Linked DNA regions of Callithrix jacchus. The protein of the gene in region 1 purifies or fractionates together with the protein of each later gene. This does not show direct contact. Links are inferred from orthologs where the notes say so. Each region holds a gene or a part of one and is shown in the gene's direction. Other genes may lie near its edges.

Evidence for each region.
Region 2: the proteins of COPS3 (region 1) and COPS7A purify together in Homo sapiens (affinity purification with mass spectrometry; 14 studies listed by BioGRID and IntAct, counting the BioPlex papers as one, with this or other methods). This does not show direct contact. The link is inferred for Callithrix jacchus from reciprocal best matches to the Homo sapiens genes COPS3 and COPS7A.

Annotation. Positions count from the first base shown.
Region 1 is NC_133506.1:62,410,352-62,414,195, reverse strand, and holds part of COPS3 (COP9 signalosome complex subunit 3), read left to right. Parts: intron 1-23; exon of another isoform or gene 24-144; intron 145-1,944; exon of another isoform or gene 1,945-1,963; coding exon 1,964-2,093; intron 2,094-3,844. UniProt on the Homo sapiens protein: Component of the COP9 signalosome complex (CSN), a complex involved in various cellular and developmental processes.
Region 2 is NC_133510.1:20,915,322-20,919,950, forward strand, and holds the start of COPS7A (COP9 signalosome complex subunit 7a), read left to right. Parts: upstream 1-1,572; 5' UTR 1,573-1,706; intron 1,707-1,815; exon of another isoform or gene 1,816-1,860; intron 1,861-2,108; 5' UTR 2,109-2,151; coding exon 2,152-2,313; intron 2,314-4,629.

The DNA of each region.
Region 1 (3,844 bases):
CCTATTTTTTTTTTTTCCCTCAGACGGAGTCTTGCTCTGTTGCCCAGGATGGAGTGCAGTGGCGTGATCTCAGCTCACTACAGCCTCCATCTTCCAGGTTCAAGGATTCTTCCATTTCAGCCCCCCAAGTAGCTGAAATTACAGGTGTGTGCTACCACACCCAGCTAATTTTTGTATTTTTAGTAGAGACACGGTTTTGCCATGTTAGCCAGCCTAGTCTTGAGCTCCTGTCTTGAAGAGATCTGCCTGCCTCATCCTCTGAAAGTGCTGGGATTACAGGTGTGAGCCATAGCACCCGGCTGAGGCTGAATTATTAATAGATTCTGTACCTTAGTTGTTAAAACATGGCATTGCAGGCCAGGTTTGGTAGCTAATGCTGGTAATCTCAGCACTTTGGGAGGCTGAGGCAGGAGGATTGCTTGGGCCCAGGAATAGGAGACCATCCTGGGCAGCATAGTGAGACTCTAGAATGTACAAAACATTTTAAAAATAAGATGGGCATGGTGACGTACACCTGTAGTTCCAGCTACTTGGGAGGCTAAGATGGGAGGATTGCTTGAGCCCAGGAGGTTGAGGCTGTGGCAAGCTGTGATCACACCACTGCACTGTAGCTTGGGTGACAGAATAAGATCTTGTCTCAAAAAAGAAAACAAAACAAACATAGTATTTTAGTATAGGGGAAAAATAGATCAGTTAGGAGATTAATTCAACAGGTAGCTGCTTGCTTGATAAGCTGCTAAGCATGTGCTGTATTCTAGAGCTGGAGAAAGGGACAGTCCCTCCACCTGAGTTTACTGAATTACCTAACCACCACAGTCCCATGTGAGGCAGAGAGGGCAGATATCCAGCTTATCCATGGGGAAGGGAACTGAAATGAGGGTCCAGAGACGCCACAAGCTGATTGTTGAATGCTGGATGAGGCTCAGTCAGGTAGCAGAGGATGTCGGGAGGAGGATAGAAAACAGCATGTGTAGAAGCATAAAGAGGAGAGAACATAGAATGTTGATTTTTCTGAGCTTGCTGTGACCAAAGAGTAGGTTTGTGAGGGGAAGTATCAGGAGATAAGGCTGCAAAGGTAGCAGGGACCAGTTACTGAAGGTCCTTAGTTCAGGCTAAGGCATTTGGATTTCTTAAACTCATTGGAGTAATTCGATTGAATGCGCAGTTTAGAACAGACTAGTGGGTTATGAAGTGTGGGTTGGAGGAGAGAAAGATCGTAGTAGGCAGACCATTTAGAAGATGTAGGCCAGGTGTGGTGGCTCACCTCTGATCCCAGCACTTTGGGAGCCCAAGGCAGGCGGATCACTGAAGGTCGGGAGTTGGAGACCAGCCTGAGCAACATGGAGAAACCCCGTCTCTACTAAAAATAAAGATAATTAGCTGGGCATGGTGCCACATGCCTGTAATACCAGCTATTTGGGAGTCTGAGGCAGGAGAATCACTTGAACCCAGAGGCAGAGGTTGTGGTGAGCCGAGATCACGCCATTACACTCCAGCCTGGGCAACAAGAGTGAAACTCCATCTCAAAAAAAAAAAAAAAAAAAAGAAGAAGAAGAAGATTTATGATATAGTCCAGACAAAAAATGATGAGGATCTGAATTAAGGCAGGGAGGGAAGTGAAAAAGGAATGGAGCTGAGAGAGAAAGTAAAACTAAATCATCTGGATTCAGAGAGGTGCTAATAGTAACATGTACATTTCTGGCTTGGGAGACTGGAAAACGGAATAGAGGAAAATGTGAAAAATTCAGAGAGAAGTGGAAGGTCCAGTGTAATCTCTAACTCATTTTGAGACCACGGACAAGTTCTTTCCCTCCTCTGGTCCTTCTGGGTCCTCATCCGAAATGAAGAATGTGTAAGTCATTTTTGAGCACTTCAGGCTCTGAAGTACAAAGCTGTGGTTGGAGTTCCTTTAGTTTGGTTAGTGCTGTAGCTGAAATACAATAGTGTTGTTCCTGTTTTCCAGGGCAAATGACACAGCTTTGTGAACTGATCAACAAGAGTGGGGAACTCCTTGCGAAGAACTTATCCCATCTGGACACTGTGCTCGGGGCTCTGGATGTACAAGAGCACTCCTTGGGCGTCCTTGCTGTTTTGTAAGGGGCATCTTCTTTTATAGTTTTGTGCTTGTTAAAACTGAACACTCTGCACTTTCTGGCTTTATTTTTGGTGTAGAAAGTAAATCATTAGAAACAACATTGAGCTCCTTTGCAAAACTAAAGTTGTAGTAGTTACATTTTACTCATTCCAACTAATCATTGCTTGTTGTATTTTGTTCAGTTTTATCATTTTTATAAACTCCTTTTTGTTTATACAAATTTTGAAAATTTGTTTTAAAAAATGGCCATCTCAATTGTGGGGCCTATAGTTTGCAACATAACAAGGCCTTATTTCTGCAAAGAATAAAAAAATTAGCTGGGTGTAGCTGTACATGCCTGTAGTCCTAGCTTCTCAAGATGCTGAGGTGGGAGGATGGCTTGAGCTCAGTTCAAGGCTTTCAGTAAGCTACAATTAAGACGGTAGGATCAGCCTCCATGACAGAATCAGACATTGTCTCAAAACAAGAAAAAATATCAAAGATCCCAAGCAATGTTGCTTAGAATTCCCTTCAGACAAATTTAAGCTATTTAAGACCAAATTAAATAGAGCTTCCTTTAATTGGGAGTCCTTATAACTGTGTACTTGGTGGTAGAATTCTTCTCTTGATGTTATATTATTATAAATTGGGATATTGTGGTTGTCTTGACAATTAAATGATATAAATAAACTGAGAAGAAATTGACTTAAAGTGAGAGTCTGGCTTCACTTATGCTGGGATTCCTGAGACAAAGGTATGTGTGCAGAGTAGAGTTTAGAGAAGAAACTTGGTCAGAATAGAAGGATCTAGAGCTATGCTCTGCAGTATGGTGACCACTAGCCATATGCAGCTATGTAAATTAAAATTAAAAAAGATTCAGGTGTACTTGCCATGTTTCAAGTACTCAGTAGCCACATGTGGTCACATGTCCATGTCTTAGCACAAATCTGTAACATTTCCACCACTGCAAATAGTTCTGTTGGACAGTGCTGGTAAAGATGTCTACTAAAATTACAAAAAAATTAGCCGGGCATGCTGGCACGTGCCTGTGGTCTCAGCTACTCGGGAGGCTGAGGCAGAAGAATCACTTGAACCCGGAAGGCGGAGGTTGCAGTGAGCCAAGATTGCGCCACTGCACTCCAGCCTGGTGACAGAGCAACACTCTGTAAAAAAAAAAAAAAAGATTTCTACTGTCTTTATTTTCTTTTTCTTTTTTCAGACGGAGTTTCGCTCTTGTTACCCAGGCTGGAGTGCAATGGCGCGATCTCGGCTCACTGCAACCTCTGCCTCCTGGGTTCAGGCAGTTCTCCTGCCTCAGCCTCCTCTGAGTAGCTGGGATTACAGGCACGCGCCACCATGCCCAGCTAATTTATTGTATTTTTAGTAGAGACGGCATTTCACCATGTTGACCAGGATGGTCTCGATCTCTTGACCTCGTGATCCACCCGCCTCGGCCTCCCAAAGTGCTGGGATTACAGGCTGAGCCACCGCTCCCGGCCTTATTTTCTTACTTATATGAAAGAGCAGATGCTGGGCACAGTGGCTAACACCTGTAATCCTAGCACTTTGGGAGGCTGAGGTGGGAGGATCTGTTTGAGACCAGCCTGGGCAACATAGCAAGACCCCATCTCTACCAAAAAAAAAAAAAAAAAAGTGGCTGGGTACAGTGGTTTATGCCTGTAATCCCAGGATTTGTAATTCCCACTCTGAGGTGGGCAGATTGCTTGAGCTCAGGAGTTTGAGACCAGCCTGGGCAACGTGGCAAAACCC
Region 2 (4,629 bases), on another chromosome or scaffold:
CTTTCATTTCACACGTTTTTCCCTTCTCTCTTTAAAAATGATAAGCTTGTACCCCATCTCTACTAAAAACACAAAATTTAGCCAGGCGTGATTGTCTATGCCTGTAATCTCAGCTATTCGGGAGGTTGAGGCAGGAGAATCGCTTGAGCCCCAGAGGTGGAGGTTGCAGTGAGCCGAGATTGCACCATTGCCCTCCAGCCTGGATGTCAAGAGCGAAATCCCAGCAAAAAAAAAATAATAATAATAAAGAAAAGAAAGAGAACAAAGAAGATAAGCTTGGGGTGGGGAGAGGTGGACACCAAATAAATAAATAAATAAATAAATAAGTTTGGACTCATTAATTCCTTGGTTCCTTCCAACTTTGAATATTTTGTTATGCCTTTATGCCTTTGATTCCTTCTCCTCACTTTTATGTTTCACCTTTTCCATTCGTTTCTTTTTCTCCTCTTTCTCCTTTGTTTTTCCTTTTTGTGTTTCTGCTTACTTTCTAAACTCTGCGTCTGCAGTTCCTTTAGCCCTAACAGACTACAAGTCCTATTTCTCTTCATCTTTCTCTTTTTAACTTTCTTATCTTTTCATTACTTATAAGTTTCTTAATTTTCCTGGGTCTCAATTTTTCCATCTGGAAAGTGGAGATAACAATTACTAGATTGTTGTATCCTATGAATTAAGTAATGCTCATCGCTTAACACAAACTTTACCCTCACTGGACCTTCTGCCAGCCTGCTGTGAAATATAACACACTATAGAAATGTTAGTTGTTTTTGTTTTTATAAAAGTATCATGTTGAAATAGAAAGATGGTTTTGAGTTGGAAAAGTTCCAGACAAATCTTTGAATTTTTATGAGCCTCATTTTCCTTTTCTGCAAAGTGAGAACAACATAGTCTTTTCCTCCCCAAGAAATTAAGAGTCCATATACTGAAGGCATCATTCTACAAGTATGAATATATATGTAATCTTGGTAGACGGTGTCCTGAAGTCACACTGGAAACATTTGTGAAGGTTCAACGGAATAAAATTTTAAAAGATATCTGACCAATGGTAAGCACTCAATAAATGTTACCTATTATTATTTCTTTTACCTTTCTCACTTCGTTTCTCCTGCTCTTCAAAAAAGTGAGTGGATGAACCCCACCAAGCGATCTCAGCTGTTAAACTTCTATTATTACTTTTTGCTTCCTCTCTGTCCCTTATTCCCCCATCCCGTTTTTTTCCTTTTCTTCACTCCTTCCATTACAGCTTTTCTCTTGTCTGAGGCACCAGTGTAATCCTGATCTCCAGCTCTCCAGCGGCTAAGAACAGACACAGCGGCTAAGAACAGACACAGCCGAGACCAGGGACCCGCCGGAGACACCCTCATTTAGTGGCTAGCGCTCTTCCACCAATAAAGTTTTATTGAAACAAAGTAGAAAAAAAGAGGCCCGTCATTCTTCCCCCAGCGACCAATCGGAGAGCAGAATGCCTGCGTCCCGCACTGGAGCTTCAGCGATCAGAAAGCGGGGGCGGGGCATGTCCTGCCGAAACTTGCGTCGTAAGAGCGGAAGTACGGCCGGAAGCCCGCCATAGAGTTTAGTGGCCAGAGCGACTCTGCAGGGAGGTGGCAGGAAAGGCTTGGAACAGCTGCCGGAGGTGACTGAGCGGCGGCCCCGCCCGGTGCGCTGGAGGTCAAAGCTTCCAGGTAGCAGTCCGCAAAGTCTGACCCAGGGTACGACGAAGCAGTCGGCGGGAGCCCACGGTCTCTGGGCGGTGTCTTTAAGGGAGGGGGTGGAGCCACGTGTAAGCTTCGTTGGGGGTGAGGTCACGTGGTTATGGGCACGTGCGGGACAGGAGCGGAGAGCTGAGGCAGCGTCGTCGTTAGGGTGGACACCATGCGACACCCCTTTCTCCGTTGCAACCTGTGTTTTGGGGTTCAGTGGGGTGCACGTGGTGGGGCTTGGGGTTAGGCCCAGGGGACTGACTTTAGGATTCCTAGATCAGAATTCTAGACCGATACATATCTGATTACTCATGCAAAACTTAGTGCCTTTACAATCCAGTCCCTTGGCCCTGTGCTTCCCATCCTACCAGCGATCAGGGACCTCTAGCTTCACGTCCTCTTTCCTTACAGCTCTGAACATCCTGAGCCCAGGTCCCCCCAGCTCAGTGCAGTCATGAGTGCGGAAGTGAAGGTGACAGGGCAGAACCAGGAGCAGTTTCTGCTCCTAGCCAAGTCGGCCAAGGGGGCAGCGCTGGCCACACTCATCCATCAGGTGCTGGAGGCCCCTGGTGTCTACGTGTTTGGAGAACTGCTGGACATGCCCAATGTTAGAGAGGTGGGTTGCTGGCCTGAATAGCCCACAGAGAAGCGTGGGCAAAGGTTTGAATTAGAGAATGGGTGGGCAGGGCTCATTTTGTAATCCCATAACCATTCAGTTGAACAAGTAAACAGTGATGATTAAATGCCAGCTTGCAAAAGTAACCAGTAAATAAGCAAACCAGTTTCCCTTTGGAGATGAGGGATCTGTAAAGCCCAGTATTTTTCATTTTAAGCAAAAAGATCATGTTATTCAGAATGGGAAACCTGATTTCCAGCTGGTCTTCACCAGTGTAATAGCTCTTGCCATGTCACCTTGATCAGGTCACTTTTGTTTTAGGGTCTCAGCTTTCTCTTTTATAAATGGGAACAATACTGCCCCTCACTGTTATTGTGGAAATAAAGTGAGATTATGGGAAAGTGCAAAGTCTGTACAAGTGGAGAGTGAACATGTTAAATTAGCATGCCCTGTTCTTCCCTGTGTGCAGCATATGCTAATCTATTCAAGGTAGCTAAGGGAGAATGTGTCTTTTTCCCAAAGACACATGGCAAACTGCTAGGAACACAGCAGAGAGAACATTCATACAAAAGTGGCAGTTAAGAATTTACAGTCGTCCGGGTGCGGTGGCTCACGCCTGTAATCTCAGCACTTTGGGAGTCCGAGGCGGGTGGATCACGAGGTCAAGAGATCGAGACCATCCTGGTCAACAAGATGAAACCCCGTCTCTACTAAAAATAAAAAATAAAAAAAAAATGAGCTGGGCATGATGGTGCGTGCCTGTAGTCCCAGCTACTTGGGAGGCTGAGGCAGGAGAATTGCTTGAACCCAGAAGGCGGAGGTTGCGGTGAGCCGAGATTGCGCCATTGCACTCTAGTCTGGGTAACAACAGCGAAACTCCGTCTCAAAAAAAAAAAAAAAAAAGGAATTTACAGTCAAAGGAGTCCTGACATGCTATGACAGTGGTATGTGGGTAAAGTGAGCTAAGTTATTTAGGGTCTGTGGTTAAACTTTTGAATCACTCTGTGGTATGGAGAAAACTGGCTGACTTCCCTGCAGTGGAACTAAAGAATATCAATGAAGGTGATGAAAAGGAAGCCCTTGGCTGGCTGCAGTGGCTCACGCCTGTAATCCCAGACTTTGGGAGGCCAAGGTGGGGGGATGACCTGAGGTCAAGAGTTGAAGACCATCCTGGCCAAGACGGTGAAACACGTCTCCACTAAAAACACGAAAATTAGCCAGGCACAGTGGCAGGCACCTGTAATCCCAGCTACTTGGGAGGCTGAGGCAGAAGAATTGCTTGAACCCCGGGGGATGGAGGTTGCGGTGAGCCAAGATTGTGCCACTGCACTCCAGCCTGGGCAACAGAGTGAGACTCTGTCTCAAAAACAACAGAAAAAAGCACATGTATCCCAGAACTTAAAGTATAATAAAAACAAACAAAAATCAGCTGGGCGTGGTGGTGTGCAACTATATTCTCAGCTATTTGGGAAGCTGAGATAGGATCGCTTGAACCTGGGAGGTGGAGGTTGCAGTGAGCTACCCTTCTTATGGTCTGGGAATACAAGAAACGTACAAGGCATGGAGGTAACCCTTCTGAAGCTTACATTCCAGTTGAAGAGATAAGATGAATGAATATAAATCTAAATTACTAATTTAGCAAGTATTTCTTTTACTTTTTTTTTTTTGAGACTGAGTCTTGCTCTGTCACACAGGCTAGAGTGCAGTGGCGCGATCTTGGCTCACTGCAGCCTCTGCCTCCCAGGTTCAAGCAATTCTCTGCCTCAGCCTGCTGAGTACCTGGGATTATAGGCACCCCTATGCCCATGCCCACCTAATTTTTGTATTTTTAGTAGAGACAGGGTTTCACCATGTTGGCCAGCCTGGTCCTGAACTCCTGACTTCATGATCCACCCGCCTTGGCCTCCCAAAGTGCTGGGATTACAGGTGTGAGCCACTGCACCTCAGCCACAAGTATTTCTTCAGAGCCAATTATTGCATAGCTCTGTGTGATCCAGACACTGGGTCTATAATCTTGAAAGATATTCTTAGATAGCAACCTTCTGCAGGGATTGATTGATTAAGTGCCAGAATGAGGCTGAGCACAGTGACTCAAGCCTGTAATCCCAGCACTTTGGGAGGCCAAGGCAGGTGGATCACCTGATGTCAGGAGTTTGAGACCAGGCTGGCCAACATGGTGAAACCCTGTATCTACTAAAAATACAAAAATTAGCCCAGCACAATGGCTCATGCCTATAATCCCAGCACTTTGGGAGGCCAAGGTGGTTGGATCACCTGAGGTCAGGAGTTTGAGACCAGTCTGGCCAACATGGTGAA